Canis lupus familiaris: one gene and its partner. The protein of the gene in region 2 interacts with the protein of the main gene of each other region in a pairwise test. Links are inferred from orthologs where the notes say so. Each region holds a gene or a part of one and is shown on either strand. Other genes may lie near its edges.

Region 1 (6,563 bases), on a different chromosome or scaffold from region 2:
TTAAGTAGGCTCCACACCCAGTGTGGGGCTTGAACTCATGGCCCTGAGATTAAGACCTGGGCTGAGATCAAGAGTCACTCAACTGACTGAACCACCCAGGCGCTCCAGCATGTGCTTTGTTGAGGGGGGCGGGGGAAGAGTCTTCTCTTGCATTTATTCCATTTAGGAAATGTATTTTGTATCACACAGGACCATTTATTTGGATGAATTCTGTGGAATGAATTTTGTATTTTTTGAGACAAAAACAAGTTCTTAAATAAAATTGAAATGTTGAAATATAGCTTTCACATTCCGTATTCCTTTTGTTTGGGAGACGTATGGCAAAATTTCAAGCCAGACAAGCTGTTGTGGATTGATTGTGTAACCATACCACTCGGCTCACCACTGCCAGTCAATATTTACTGTCTTCCGTGCCAGGCAGTCTGCTGGGAGCTGAGACTATAGTGTGGAGTGGCCACAGTTCCTGCCCTCTGGAAGTTTGTGATGTTGGGGGGTGGAGGAGCTGGGACCCCAGTGAGGCGCTGTCATGTGGTTGTTGCTATGTGTGTGTAGGGAGAACTGTGGGATTTGTTCTTCCTTGGGGAAGGGAAGGAGGAAGGGGAGGAAGGTCTGAGAAGCTCTCAGAGAAGACAGAAGTGGGCAAAGCACATTGCAAGCAAAAAGCACAGTCTGTGCAATGGCACAGCGGTGCGGAGCTGTATCTCCTTGCGGAATGGTATGGTTGGAACACAGGAAGCATGGGAGGAAGAGGAGAGATGAGCTGGAGGGGCAGGAGGGCCTGGCTATTTCAGCCCCTGATGAGACGATTCCAACGGACACTCGTAGCTCCAGAGCCTCCTACGTGGTCCACCAGTGCTTGGTCAGCCTGTCACAGCTCAGCTTCTCCCCTGCCCAACCCTGCTTACTTCCACACCTCTTTCCTGTGATCCTCAGTAACCACCTGGCTCATCTCGAAGTTTCACCTTGGCATCTGCTTCAGCCTGAGACCTGGAGATGGGGGTGGCTGGGTTTCTAGCTGGGGAATCTGGGGGCACAGTGGTGCTGGGAACGGGGAGGACGGGTCTAAGAGAGAAGGAGCAGGTTTGGGCAGTGGGGACATGGGTGTGCCTGTAGAAGGCTGGCCTGATGGGCCCATTAGGCATTCAAGGCCATCTCAGAATCAGTTGGGTTTGGCAATGGCAGTCATCAGGTCCTAGAGCCAGGGAGTGGTTGAAGCTGTCGGAGGAAGTGGCTCACTCAGGGAGAATTTGAAAAGAAAGCAGAGGGTAGTCCCACAGTTCACCACTGTACCAGGTAAGGAAGGGGCTGCTGACCATGTGCAGCCTGGCCCTGCCCACAGGAGTTCCCTATTGGTTGGGAAGGAGCCTCAGATGCGAAGAGTTAAAAACATTAAAGCTCTACCTTCATGGCTTACCAGGTGTTTCCATAACTCCAGACTGTTCTCAAGTCACAAGGTAGAGCACACACTAACCTACATGGAAAGATCACTGGTTTTAGGGATGGTCAGGCCCAAGTTGCCATGCCAGCTCCACCCCTCCCTGTGTGATGCTGAACAAATCTCTTGTCCCTGTTTCCATGATCTCACCTGTAATATCAGCCTAACCAGGGTTGTGGTGGGCATGAAACTGGAAATAGTATGGTTAACTCAAAGTTCTGAAAACTTAAAGGGAAAGAAGCATCGATGCTGATTTTTCTGGTCTAAATTGTACCCCAGTGAAACCAAATAGTTGATGAGGGGAAGATTCTTAAATCCGAGGACTCTAGTTAATAGAATAAAAATTAGAGTTACTTGTTACTGCTCTGCATCCTCTAATGACATAGTGCATCTGTGCAGTGATGAGCAGTGGCAGGCAAACCATCAGTGGAATTCCCCAATGACTGACTGGATCTGGCTGACAACGTCTGAATCTACTGAGCAATCTTCACAACTTAGGGACAAGCAGATGTTCTGGGCCTCCTGCAGTGACATAATGGGAAACACACAGCTTCGCCTATGAAGTATTCCTGCCCAAAAGACTGAATGTGAAACTGACCCTCTAGATGTAACCACCAGTTCATGGGAAATACCAGGGACATAGAAACAAGTTAAAGGACACTGTGAGGCTGCAATCAGCCAAATCGAGACCGTGGGGGAATTCTACAGGGCAGATGAGCCTGTTTCTTCAACAAATTCATGGCAAGACAAAAACAATAATTTACAGTTTAAAAGAGATTTAAGAGACATTCCCACTAGGGGAAGACAAGAAGGTATGAAAAGTACTTGGCACATACTAACAGCTCAATAAATGAGAGCTACTGTTAATTTACAATGAGCAAACTGCACTTTGGTGAGAGTAAGTCACTTACCTGATGTCACCAAGAACTAGCCAATGACCCCATGGTCTGCTTTGCAGAAAGTCCTATGTCTATGCAGTCCAGTTGGGCAGCTACAATAATCACCAAAACCACTCACTGAAATTGAATTTTTATTCCAAATGACTGTAATGGCTAGAAAGACAACAGATAAAACTGAAAATGATCTGCTTAACTGGAAATTAGAAGTAGCTGATTTTGTAGGAGAGCAAACGGTGGGGTGACAGACAGCCTTGGCACTTGATAACGGTTATAACCAAGAAAGCATAAAAATAACCGATGTCCTTCTGATACACAATCTGGATGTGCAGCATTTACAGCAAATATCATAAAAAGAAAGAAAGGAGGAAAGAAAAGAAAAAAACTCCACAAAATCCCAAACCTCAAAAATCAACATTCTCTTAAGAACACAGTGGTGAGAAGACTTTTGGTAGCAAAATTTTCACAATTCTTAAAGTGAGAGTCTTCAAAAGTACTTCCTCAAATTCAAAAGCTAAAAAAAAAAAAAAAAAATGCAGAGGGAACAGTCACACTGGCTTAGAAGAGCTGCCGCCTGTCACAAAGATGACAATCAGTCCTGCTTCCAAACACAGTGATGACTGGCGAGCCTGACAACTGAACAGAGCCTGCCTGGCGGGTGCTGACGCAGCTGATTGTACAAGAACTCTCTGGATCACTCATCATCAACAGGCGACAACAGAGCTACTGCTCCTCCTGACTGATGCTCAGGCTGCCTTTCTGCACCTCTAGTTCCTCAGCACTGACCATCGACGGGTCGATGGCCGCGTATTTTGTTCCATGGAATTGTAGCAAATGGATCTGTAGAAACACAGAATCATTATTTTAAATGTCACAGTAACACATAAATGTTTTAAAAAGGTTTTATTTATTTATTTGAGAGAGTGAGAGAGCGCAGAGATGAGAGGGAGAGGGGGAAGCAGACACCCCCTGAGCAGGGAGCCCCAACATGGGGCTTGATCCCAGGATCCCGAGATCACAACCGGAGCCAAAGGCAGACACCCAACCGACGGAGCCACCCAGGTGCTCTAGCATATAAATGTTTATAGTTCTAAAATTATAATGTAATTAGAGAAAAACTGGAAAACATAGAAAAGTCAAGTATTTTGAAAAACCACAATGTGGGATCTTTGTTCCCTATTTAATATATAACAGGTCTCTCCAAGTTCCTATAAACTCTTCATCAACATCTCAGAGGGTGGCACACCACTCTGTGAGTGGGTGTTTACCCTCCTGCTTTGCTGCTGTGACTCAGGTCCTCCCCCGATCCTCTGCTGTTCTGTGTGAGATCATGATCAATGTCTCCTGGCATCAGGTTTTTTTGAATTTAGGGTCTTCTCCTTAGGATCCATGCCACAAATAGATGGCAGGACCTAAGGATGTGACTGGTTTTTGAAGCTCTTGATACTTCCTACCGAACTGCCAAAGCAATAATTTCTCACTGCTATTTTATTTTTTCTTAAAGATTTTATTTATTTATTCATGAGAGACACAGAGAGAGACAAAGGCAGAGACATAGGCAGAGGGAGGAGTAGGCTCCATGCAGGGACCCTAACGTGGGACTTGATCCTGGGTCTCCGGGATCACGCCCTGGACCAAAGGCGGCACTAAACCACTGAGCCACTAGGGCTGCCCTCTCACTGCTATTTTAATATCCATTTGGGTAGAAGATGAAGTGGCAGCTTTTGCTAGTTTGTGTGCATGCGTGCGTGTGTATATGTTAAGTTATATTTAAGTAATCTCTACACCCCATGTGGGACTTGAACTCACAACTCCCTGAGATCAAGAGTCTCATGCTCTTCCGACTGAGCCAGCCAGGCACTCCTGCGTGTGTTTTTTTTAACGTGTTAAAAATGGATCAGGAAGTTGCTTCAATGAAGGTTCCTGTTCTGATTGAATTCACTGTATCCAGGAGGCAAGGTCACATCATGTGGCATGGCCACTTCAGTATGTGTGGATGCAGGCCTGCTGTTCTTAGAAAAGAGATGGTAGGCAGAGTCACTCAACTGTTTCTAATATACCCGCTTGGCTTCTGCTATAAATTATTAATGTAAACCACCTTTATCAAGTGAATGACTCATTGCTACAGAGAATTCTGTAGTCTCTTATTCCACCATCCAAAAAAAAAAAAAAAAAAAAAAAAGCTTTATGTTTCAAACCATACACTTTGGGTTCAAAGTGTTCCGGCTCCCAAGCTGGGACTTACCTGCACATAAAGATTCACCTCCGCACTTCTGCACAGGTATGGGAAGTTGCCCCCTGTTTTAAGATGAGCCCTCCGGGCATTAGGATACAGTTTATACATTTCTTCTTTAGCTTCAGTTGAAAGTGCACTCTGGTCAAATACCTTTTAAAAAAAACACAAAGCTGTAACCTACCAGTGTTTTAGTAGGTTTTTTGTACATTGTGGAAAGTGCCTTCCAAAGCATCTCTTTCTGGCTTTCTAGTGAAGAGATACCGCTGAACCCCTGGCCAGCCTGGGTAACTTGCTCATCTCTGGTAACTTCTAACTCCAACATAAGCTACAGATTTTGTTGTCAAACACCTCTTGCATTCATTGGGGGGAAAATTCTTATCATGAATTTTTTCCCCTTAAACATAGCTAACTAACTAAATTAAAAGAACAATAGTGAATGCCAATTCATTTCAAAAAGATCACTGAAATCCCCCAAACTTTTTATTTTATTTAAAGATTTTATTTATTTATTCATGAGACACACACAGAGAGAGAGAGAGAGAGAGAGAGGCAGAGACACAGGCAGTGAGAGAAGCAGGCTCCATGCATGGAGCCCGATGTGGGACTCGATCCTGGGTTTCCAGGATTACACCCTGGGCTGAAGGCAGGTGCTAAACCGCTGAGCCACCCAGGGATCCCCCCAAAACCTTTTAAATTTTATTATTACTTAAAAACAGTTACATAAGTACTATATGATCAGAAAAAAAATTCCAAAAAAAAATTTTTTTTAAGAGTATAAGAAAAAGTCCAGATCCTTTCCTGGGGGAGCCATTGTTAGCTGTTTGGAGTATATGATTCTAGACATCTTCTAATGCCCACATAAACTTACCTGTTTTTTGTTTGTTTGTTCTTAAAGATTTTATTTATTTGAGAGACACAGAGAGAGAGATAGCATGAGCAGGGGGAGAGGGGGATCAGGATCCCAGGACCCTGAGATCATGACCTGAGCCAAAGGCAGACACTCAACCAACTGAGCCACCCAGGTGCCCCTAAACTTATGTTTAAACACATGCAAACAAGTTTTCAAAAAATAATATTTAAAATGAAGCACACACACTCAAAAAGTATCTCCAACTTGCTAAAGCTTACATACAGTTTTCAGTGACCACATACCCAAGTGGTGAGCTCAGCTTTGAAAGATGGGCAAGCAGAGCAAATGTACCATGAGGACCAAGTATTTTACCAAGAGTACCGAAAAGCTTGTTCTGTGTCATAGTAAATTTTGAATGTAGAGATTACAGTGGAGAATTAGAAGTTATAATTTACATGCTTGTAATTTCCTGAAAAATCAATTCTTAAAAATATTATTTGATTTTAGCAATACATCCACTTATGAGGCAAAATAATTATATGATTAAAAAAAAAAGCCAAAACCACAATGAAATACCACTTTGCATCCATCAGAATGGCCATTATAAAACAAAAACAAAAACAAAAACAGGAAATAACAAGTGTTGGGGAGGATATGGGATGACTTGAAACCTTGTGCACTGTTGTGGGAATATAAAATGGTACAGTCTCTGTAGAAGATGATATGACGGTTTCTCAAAAAGTTAAACACAGAATCACCAATATGGCTCAGCAATTTCACCTCTAGGTATAGACCCAAAAGAAGTGAAAGTAGGTACTCAAACAGGTATGTGTATACCAACATTCAGAGCAGCATGATTCACAAGAGCCAAAAGGTGGAAAAACCCAAATGCTCATCAACAGGTGAATGGACAGGGGCAGCCAGGTGGTTCAGTGGTTTAGCGCCACCTTCGGCCCAGGGCCTGATCCTGGGGACCCAGGATCAAGTCCCATGTCGGGCTCCCTGCATGGGGCCTGCTTCTCCTTCTGCCTGTGTCTCTGCCTCTCTCTCTCTGTGTCTCTCATGAATAAATAAATAAAATCTTAAAAAAAAACAAAACAGGTGAATGGATAAATAAAATGTGGTATATACACACAACAGAATATT
Region 2 (8,646 bases):
CTCACAGTACATGGTTTCAAATGGGTTGGATGGAAAGCTTTGTACAACCACACTTAGTTAGGGAACATTAAAGTGATTTCATTTTGGTTCACTCACTTGTGATCCAAAGAGGGTGTTGTGGTATTGGTTTTGATAAAACTTCACAACCAATGGGAATCTTTTTTGAGTTAGTGTGGAGTGGCCTTAATGCTGGAAATAATCCTGTTGGCCAGGACCCCAGAGCTATACAGATGAGAAAAGGATGCAGGAAATTCTGTTGTTTACACATGTGTCTGTAACACTGAGCCGCTAGAGCAGCCCAGCAAGCCCAGAGGGTAAGATGCCTAATAACCTTGTGGTTTTCTATTTAATTATTATATTTTCCTGCTGGAGCAGAGCATGTGGTATTCTCGGAGCAAAGAAAAAGACAGTTACTTATAAGATGCAGAACAAAACTACTGTAGGTCTGGGAAACAGAGGGATTTGAAGTTTCTTCTTAAAGTGGACTTGATTCCTTCCCTCTTTCTTCCATTTTCCACTGTTGATATTATTTATCCTGACAGCTTGCCATACTTTTCCTGTTTTTTAAAAAATAACTATACTAAGCACAACTCAGGTAAGAATTTCAACTCTAAATGTAGACAGTCATAGATTATGTTTATATTAAGACTTTGTTTTGTAGTTCCAAATGAATATGAGTTAGTCAATGTGTTTGGAAGTAATCTATATTCTTAGAGTTTTAAAAAAATGCAAAACTGTTATGCAAACCCTCATATTTATGCTTCATGCATTCAGAGTTATTTTTATTTTGATTGGATAGTCCTCATGCTGAATTTCTGTTATTGTTAACAGAAAAATATACCTCAAACTTGGAACTAATATTGATTTCTTTATAGAAGTTACCTGGGCAGTATGGAGGAGATAGGGACATAGAATGAAATAATAAAAATCCTGTACATGATAAAAAAGAAATGGATCTTTATATGGGAAGTAATAGTAGAACTGAAGGGAAAAAAAGATCTATGGAAACCATTGGGAAATACTTGTTCATGTTTTCCACAAAGATAAATTATAAACTGAATATTGAGTGGTTAAGTCTATTAAATAGAAATATAATGAAGATATTATTTAAAAATAGAAACAAGTAACATATGCAATTGAAATACACAATGATAATTCTTAATATTCTCATTTATATCAACACTAGTTTTTTATTTTTTGAAATCATGCAAATACACTTTTGCTAATAGCTTTGTGGAATAGGGTACTGTTACAACTTTTGACTGAATGCCTTGTTTTTAGTCATTTTTGTTGAATATCCTTGCATATACATTAAACATTTCTGAATTCTGACTTTTATGCACATTTTTAAATAAGCATTAGATGAAAAAGCAATCTTAAAATGCTAGAAATACAGTATCTGTGTAATTTTCCTGTGATTTTGTAGTATTGACTTAAGGGATCAATAAATCTATATGAATGACATTTAGAAAAATGCTATATGTGGATTGCTTTTTTGGAAAACTTTAAAAATTTAGTTTTCTTGTAAAATGACAGATGATATAATTTTGCATTCTTCATGTTTTTATTGGGTTCAGTAATTGCATGATCACTAGCATATAAGCTTCCTGGTGCCTTGATACAGTTGTGGTCTTGAAATTTATGAGGTTTTCCTCTAATTATTAGAGCCACAAATATAATGATGATAATTCTTTAAAATTAAAAATGATATAAGGACAGCTTCTATTTGAAGAAGTACCATTTCTCCTGGGCTGATACTGCAAGGTTAATTGAATTTTTCTATAATGGTAAAACCTTCAAAAATCTTCTTCTTAGCAAGATTTTAAAGAAGCCTTGAAAGAAAAGTCCTGCTTCCCGAGCTGAGTCTTAAAAATCAGTGGAATGTAGATAGTTGTTGAAAAACAAAAAGACCGTTCTACTTTGTAGTAGTAGTTGGAGCAAAGAGTTTTGAGGCATGAGCTATGAGGCTATGAACCTCATTGGAGAAGAAGAAAAACTCACCATTGTGAGTAGCAGACATTGGGCTCAAGAGTGAGACAAAGTTGTGAAACACAGAGCACTGTATACTCTGAATATACAGAGTAATTTTGACCCTATATATTGTACAGTGAGGGTGATTGCAAATTTCTGAAGAGATGGGGAGTATTTATTCTTCTTTGCTTTGTCATCTCCATCATCATCATCATCATCATCATCATCATCATCATCATCACACTACCAGCAAATAATAGCATTTCCTATGTGTAAGGTAATTTACATACGTATCTACAACTTTGATAGTTGCTTAATAGAATGAAATTCATATCACATATCTTCATTTTACACGAGGAAATTTGATGTTCCGAAATGTAAATGATTTCTCTAAAGCCACAGATATAGTACGTTCTGGAGCTAGGTTTCCAAATAATGTCTTTCTGGCTCCAAAGCTTTTCCACTCTGCTCCACTGGTATTTTAGGAATGTGAGTCTGGCAGAAGTTGAGCAGAATGGTTTGGGATGGCGTTGGGGTAATAGCGTGCAGGGAAGAGACAGTGAGACGACATCCGTAAATCCAAGCTAATCACAATTCTCTCAGGTGGTCCACTCTTACTTTAGGGAATAGACAGAAGAAATTGATACTGAAAATAAGCAGTTTTTATACTTAAATTGGCGATTCTCATATTCAACACTTAGGCTTTCCTCTCTTTTATTTTCTTGAACATTGTATTCAAAGAAGATGTCTTTTGATTTCTCAGAGGAAGTTTAATCACTGATTTTCATCAAATATCACATATTCATAAGAGAAACGCATGTGGTTATTGGAAATGATATTGGGAACACACTGGCGTTCTTTTGTTTGTTTATGATGAGTGATATGAATGGAAAGACCCCATGATTATCATGTAAGTTTTATTTGAATGGGTGAAGAGCATATATAAAATTTATGTTGCTAATAGACAATGCAGAGTACAGTACATCAGTAGTAAAAAGAATAAGCCCCATTTAACATTTTTCCTCGTATATCTAAACTTTAAATATATTTAACTTTTCTCTAAATAGAATATTTTATAAATATATATTATAACTATATATATATAATAGTGTCTGTGCTCTCATTTTAGAAATGTACGATCTACTGTTTTAGAAGTTTATTGTCATTTAAATAGGCTTTACTGGAGTAATGCCTTTTTGCCATATGCCCAAACAGCTGAAGATAGTTGTAATGTAAAGATTCATTCCTTTAAATATATCATTAAGAAAACAATAAGTATACTTGTCAGCTCAAATACTTTCATCACTGACCTTAGGTTAGGACATTTCATTTTAATTAAACAGATCTAGGCTGTTTTCCAAGATTCTATTTTATAGAGAGTCTTTTACATGTTCAATACCTGGTCCTCAGTGTTTGGTCCTCAATGCCCTGATCAACTGTTGATGCACAATTGTTATCAAGTATTATAAAATAGAAAACTGGTTATCTTATAGGAGGAAAGCAGCCTATCAAAGAGAAGATGGGTTGTGCTCAATACCATTCTATTAAGGTCATAGCTTTGCAGATTACTAATATTTTTATATATTTAAATACCTGAGTGACTTGCATATGATGATATTTACTATGAGTTGCTGTTATATGTAGAAAAGATAAAAGAATATTTGCTGTTAAAAACTGATAGAAGGACTTTTTTTGGTAGCTGAATACAGAAGTACCCTTTTGAATAAAAAACATATTCATTGCAGAGCTTTTAAATGGTATCCTATAATCCTTGTCTTTAATTTGTAGAATTAAAGCCCTCTTCCCCCCAAAAAATAGATGTGCTGGAGTACTACCATATCAGAGGCAGACCCACCAGAGCAGAATGAAGAGCACCATTCAGAGAGGTAGGAGGAGACCCATGAAAGAGGAGTCTTTCAGAAGCTAAGTAAATGAGTCATTGCTGAAAGATGAAATGGCCAAGTTATATAAAATGCTACTGAGTGGTCAAGGAAAATAGGAGTTAACTGTTAATTAGATTTTGCAATACAGAAGTTATTGATTTTCTGTTTTTGCAGAGATCTAGGCTTAAAAACTGGTAGAGTGAGTTCAAGAGAGAGTGAGATGAGTGAAAATATCTTCTAATGGTTTTTACTATAAAAAATATCAGAGAAATGTGATGGTCCCTGGATGGAGATCAAGATGATTTTTGTTTTTCAGGTTGAAGATATTATAGCATGTCCCCTTTGCCGATAAGAATGACTTAGGAGGGAGATTTAATTTTATTAGAAAGGAGAGAGAGAACTCTATTTGTAGGAGTTAAGTCTTTAAGTCAGCTAGTGGGGATTCAGATGGAACCTGCAAATGGAAAGTTTGACTTTAGGGGCAAGGATGATGTAGAAAGAGGCTGAGATCAGGGTTACCACAAGGCTGATAAGTGTGGTAGAGCCAGAGAATGGTAGTTGTCTTTTGATAACTTTTTTTTTTTTTAAAGTGAAACAGAGGGAAAAAAAGAATAACTTCATCAAGAAAGATGGAAGAGTTAAGGAAGAAGATGGGTGGAGTTTTGGAGAATGGGAAAGTGAAATGATAAGGGAAATGGAGTAGGGTTGGCTGTGCAGTGCTAAGGGCTGATGTGATATTCAGAATCAAGAATTGAAGTGAGACCTGAAAGTAAACCATGTTTTCTCTAAGTATTAGCAGATGCTCAGGTAGGTGCCTATGTGGAACAGGCAGATAGTTGAATGCCAACCAGAATTGGAGTTTTCTAGGCAATAAGGTTAAGAGAATGCCAATCTAGCTGAGCATAAATTGTTAATTAATGGGGCTTGGAAAAGGGAAGGAGTATCAATATGAAGTAGGTAATAAATGGTTAAAAGATAATGGGATCAGTTAATAGGAGGTCCAAGTTAGGTCAAAGAAGAGAATTTTGTGGACCACAGAAGGTAATCAAAAGGGTGCTTAACATGGAAATGGAAGAAATGCTGTATGGTAATAGTATCTAGGGTATATACCAGCCAGTGGGTGCATGAGGTAGAACTATTGGAATTGATAGGAACGGAAAGATGAGAATATTGTAAGGATACTGCATGTGAAAATATTTTGGACATGAAATTAAGTTTAGTTCCATTACAACCAATTAGTACCACCCTTGGTTTTACTAGATACATTTTATTTCTTATTAGTAAATGTCTTTGAATTTACTTAAATGGGAAAACAGTCCTGTTATAAAAATACATGGAAAAACATGGTGTTTTATATGTGGATTATATTATGGTAAGAAGATAAATATCCACAAGTGGACACTAATTTTAGTACCCATTCCCATGCTGAGACTAATTTTGTTCATAATTTCCTCCACTTACCTTCTTATTTTTTTAATGCATCCATCGCCTCATATAGTTACCTATTTATTTATTTTTTTTAACTTTTTAAAAAATTTTATTTATTTATGATAGTGAGAGAGAGAGAGAGAGAGAGAGGCAGAGACATAGGCAGAGGGAGAAGCAGGCTCCATGCACCGGGAGCCCGACGTGGGATTCGATTCCGGGTCTCCAGGATCGCGCCCTGGGCCAAAGGCAGGTGCCAAACTGCTGCACCACCCAGGGATCCCCTATAGTTACCTATTTAAAAATGTTTAACTGAAGTGTAGTTGACATATAATATTAAACTAGTTTCAGGTATACAACGTAGTGATTCAGCGATTCTATACCTAATGAAATGCTCACCAGGATAAGTGTATTATGATATTATTGACTGTATCCCCTCTGCTGTCCTCTATTTTTAATGATGTTTTGCTTGGTCTTACAGACTGTATTAGAGAAGGATCTTCAGGGAACAATAAGATATAGACATAGAATTTTTCACATCTAACGAATTGTAAGCCCATAATTTTTCTCGATGTTCATTATATTGCCAAAGTTTTGGATAAAGATTAAATTATATTTGCAAATGATGGTCAGAAACCATGAACTACCTTTATTTTAATATTTAATTTTTTTTTTCTAAAAGCCAGGCTGTCTAAATAGCTTAAAATAAATGGGATTTCTTTTAAACTTCTCAGATGAGAACGTGGAACAGTCATATCCAGTGTTTTGAATCATGGCCATTTTATTTTGATGTGACTATTGTAGCATCTCCTCTTCTACATTATGTGACCATGTGGCAGAGAATGAAAATGTTCTGTTCATTTATATTTGAATGATAGCTATGATGCTGATGTGTATTTACATTATCAATAGAATGCATTTTCAAACATATATTTGAAAATAATATTATTAGCAATCATCTTAGTTTGATGCATAAGTGAGAAGCCTCTGTAAGACAGAGATAGAAATTTTGTGAGAACACACTGAACATAAGTTTGAAAATTCAAAACAAAGTTTTCTATTTCTGGAAAATTCTCTATGAAAAAGAAAAATCCTTAAATTTTTGGGTTGCTCTAGAGTAGAGCTATGCAACAGAAGTAGTGTTCAAGCAACCTTTACAATCTGAAGTTACATTTAAAAAATAAATGTGGGGCACCTCAGTGGTTTAGCACCACCTTCAGCCCAGGGCCATGCTGGAGACCCGGGATCGAGTCCCATGTCAGGCTCCCTGAATAGAGCCTGCTTTCCCTCTGTGTCTCTGCCTCTCTCTCTCTCTCTCTCTCTGTCTCTTATGAATAAATAAAATGTTTAAAAATAAATAAAATAAAAATTTAAAAATGTGACATAGATTTTAATAACATATTGTACTTAACCCAATATCTTTAAAATATTACCATTCTAAAATGTAACCAATATAAAATTAATGAAATAGTCTACATTTTTATTTTCCACACTGTGCCTAATTTAGACTTAGAGTACATCTCAGTTCGGACTGCCTTCATTTCAGTGGTTTTCTAGCACCATCAGGCTTGTGACTATCCAGTTGGACAGCACAGACTATTATACTCCGGAATATAAATAATTACACAGTACTCTCTTAGCAGGTGTAGGTCATGTGTAGGGCATTACATTTATCTCCTTGTTGTAAATGGAGATAAGTGTTTGAGCGACCTTTCTAAGGAACAAATTTACCCCAGGTTTTCTGATTCTGAATCCAGTGCTCTCTGAGTGCCACTCTCCATTCTGATGGTGGTTATGTTGCTGTATTTATGTTATACTGATTCTGAGAAGTGTGTACAATATGGTGGCCTCTGGAAATAACTGGTACTAATATGTTCTACCCTTGCTGTAATTTAAAAAAATCTAATTGGCGTGAAAAGTAAGCAGTAATAAAAATGATCAACTCAGGACACTTGGGTGACTCAGTGGTTGAGTGTCTGCCTTTGGCTTAGGGCATGATCCCAGGGCATGAACGAGTCCCACATTGGGCTCCCTGCATGGAGCCTGCTTCTCCCTCTGCCTATGTTTCTGCATCTCTCTCTGTGTGTCTCTCATGAATAAATAAATAAGTAAAATCTTAAAAAAAAAAAAAAAAGATCAACCCAATTTTAGGATTCCACACATTTCTCAGTTTTTCTTTTCTTTTCTTTTTTTTAAATAAATTAAGTGAAAGAATCAAATCTGGTAGAACAGAGAGATAGAAAAAGTAAAAATAGAGGTTTGGAGGAAGATTTAAAACTGTGGCATTATAGGGATTATTTGAGAAAAAGTTGAAAGGAAATATTTATATGGCTGGGAGGGCAAATAAAAACATAGCAAGTTTTCAGAAATATAAGGGTTTAATCTGGTCTTCAGCTTTTTGCAGTTCTTTGCACATGTCTTACATTTTCTATTTTAGGGGCTGGAAAGCAAGATCTCTTGAGAATTGTAAACACTAGCTGTTGACTTCCTGTTGTTTTGACATTTTTAATCCAATTCCTGGTCTTTACCAGGGGATTAAAACACTATGCCTACAATACAAACAGATAAAAACTGATTTCAGATCAATTAGCAATTTGCTGGGAACTCTGCTTTTTAGTTAAATTGCTTTACTCTTTAGTGTTAACTTCTCTGATGCCAAAGGGCAAACCCCCAAAATATCAACACTTAAAAAGATGATAGATGATTGGAGACTCTTTCTAAACAGAGTACAAAGACATTTTGGCTAAATGGAAAATGTATGGACAGGAAAAAAGTTTCATTAGCATGTATAGTAACTAATCTTGAAATCAAAATCTAACATTACACTTTTTAATATTTCATGTCTTAAGATTATAAATTACATTTTCCCAGTGAAGTCAAGATTTTAGATCTCATTATTACAAGAGGTAACAAGTATTATACAACCACAAGCTTTGTATTTCTGGACAAAGTATTTTCCTCCAAATAATGTATCTGAAAGAGGATTACTTGTTTTATTACATTAAAATTGATAGAATTGGAACAAAATATATGATTTATATCAATTTACTCTTAGGAGAGTCCATAGAAATGTAATGAGGCTATAAATCTAATGCCAGTAACTAAGATAAAAAGTCTACATTTTCTCTAAAAATCAACATATCATCAACTGCTGTTCTGATAATTTTTGGTGATATATATGTATATATTACTATTTCTCTTTTTGTTACATGATATAAGAACATTCAGTTTTAAAAAATGTCATTGTTTCACCTTCACTTTTTTTAATATTATTTTATTTCAGTGTTTCTGAGTATTAGAATCTTCCTTACCAAGACAAAAGAATTGATTTAATATCTTCATAGTACTTTAAGGGAATGTAGTACTA

The links.
Region 1: the proteins of CCDC102B (region 2) and SPG21 interact in binary tests that used the Homo sapiens proteins (3 or more experiments, as listed by UniProt). The two-hybrid records come from large-scale screens. The link is inferred for Canis lupus familiaris from reciprocal best matches to the Homo sapiens genes CCDC102B and SPG21.

What each region holds. Positions count from the first base shown.
Region 1 is NC_049251.1:29,777,627-29,784,189, forward strand, and holds the end of SPG21 (maspardin), read right to left. Parts: intron 4,718-6,563; coding exon 4,577-4,717; intron 3,172-4,576; coding exon 3,055-3,171; 3' UTR 2,449-3,054; downstream 1-2,448. UniProt on the Homo sapiens protein: May play a role as a negative regulatory factor in CD4-dependent T-cell activation.
Region 2 is NC_049222.1:9,361,175-9,369,820, reverse strand, and holds the start of CCDC102B (coiled-coil domain-containing protein 102B), read left to right. Parts: upstream 1-3,781; 5' UTR 3,782-3,789; coding exon 3,790-3,857; intron 3,858-8,646. UniProt on the Homo sapiens protein: During interphase, forms fibers at the proximal ends of centrioles to maintain centrosome cohesion. During mitosis, dissociates from the centrosome following phosphorylation to allow centrosome separation. Contributes to CROCC/rootletin filament formation.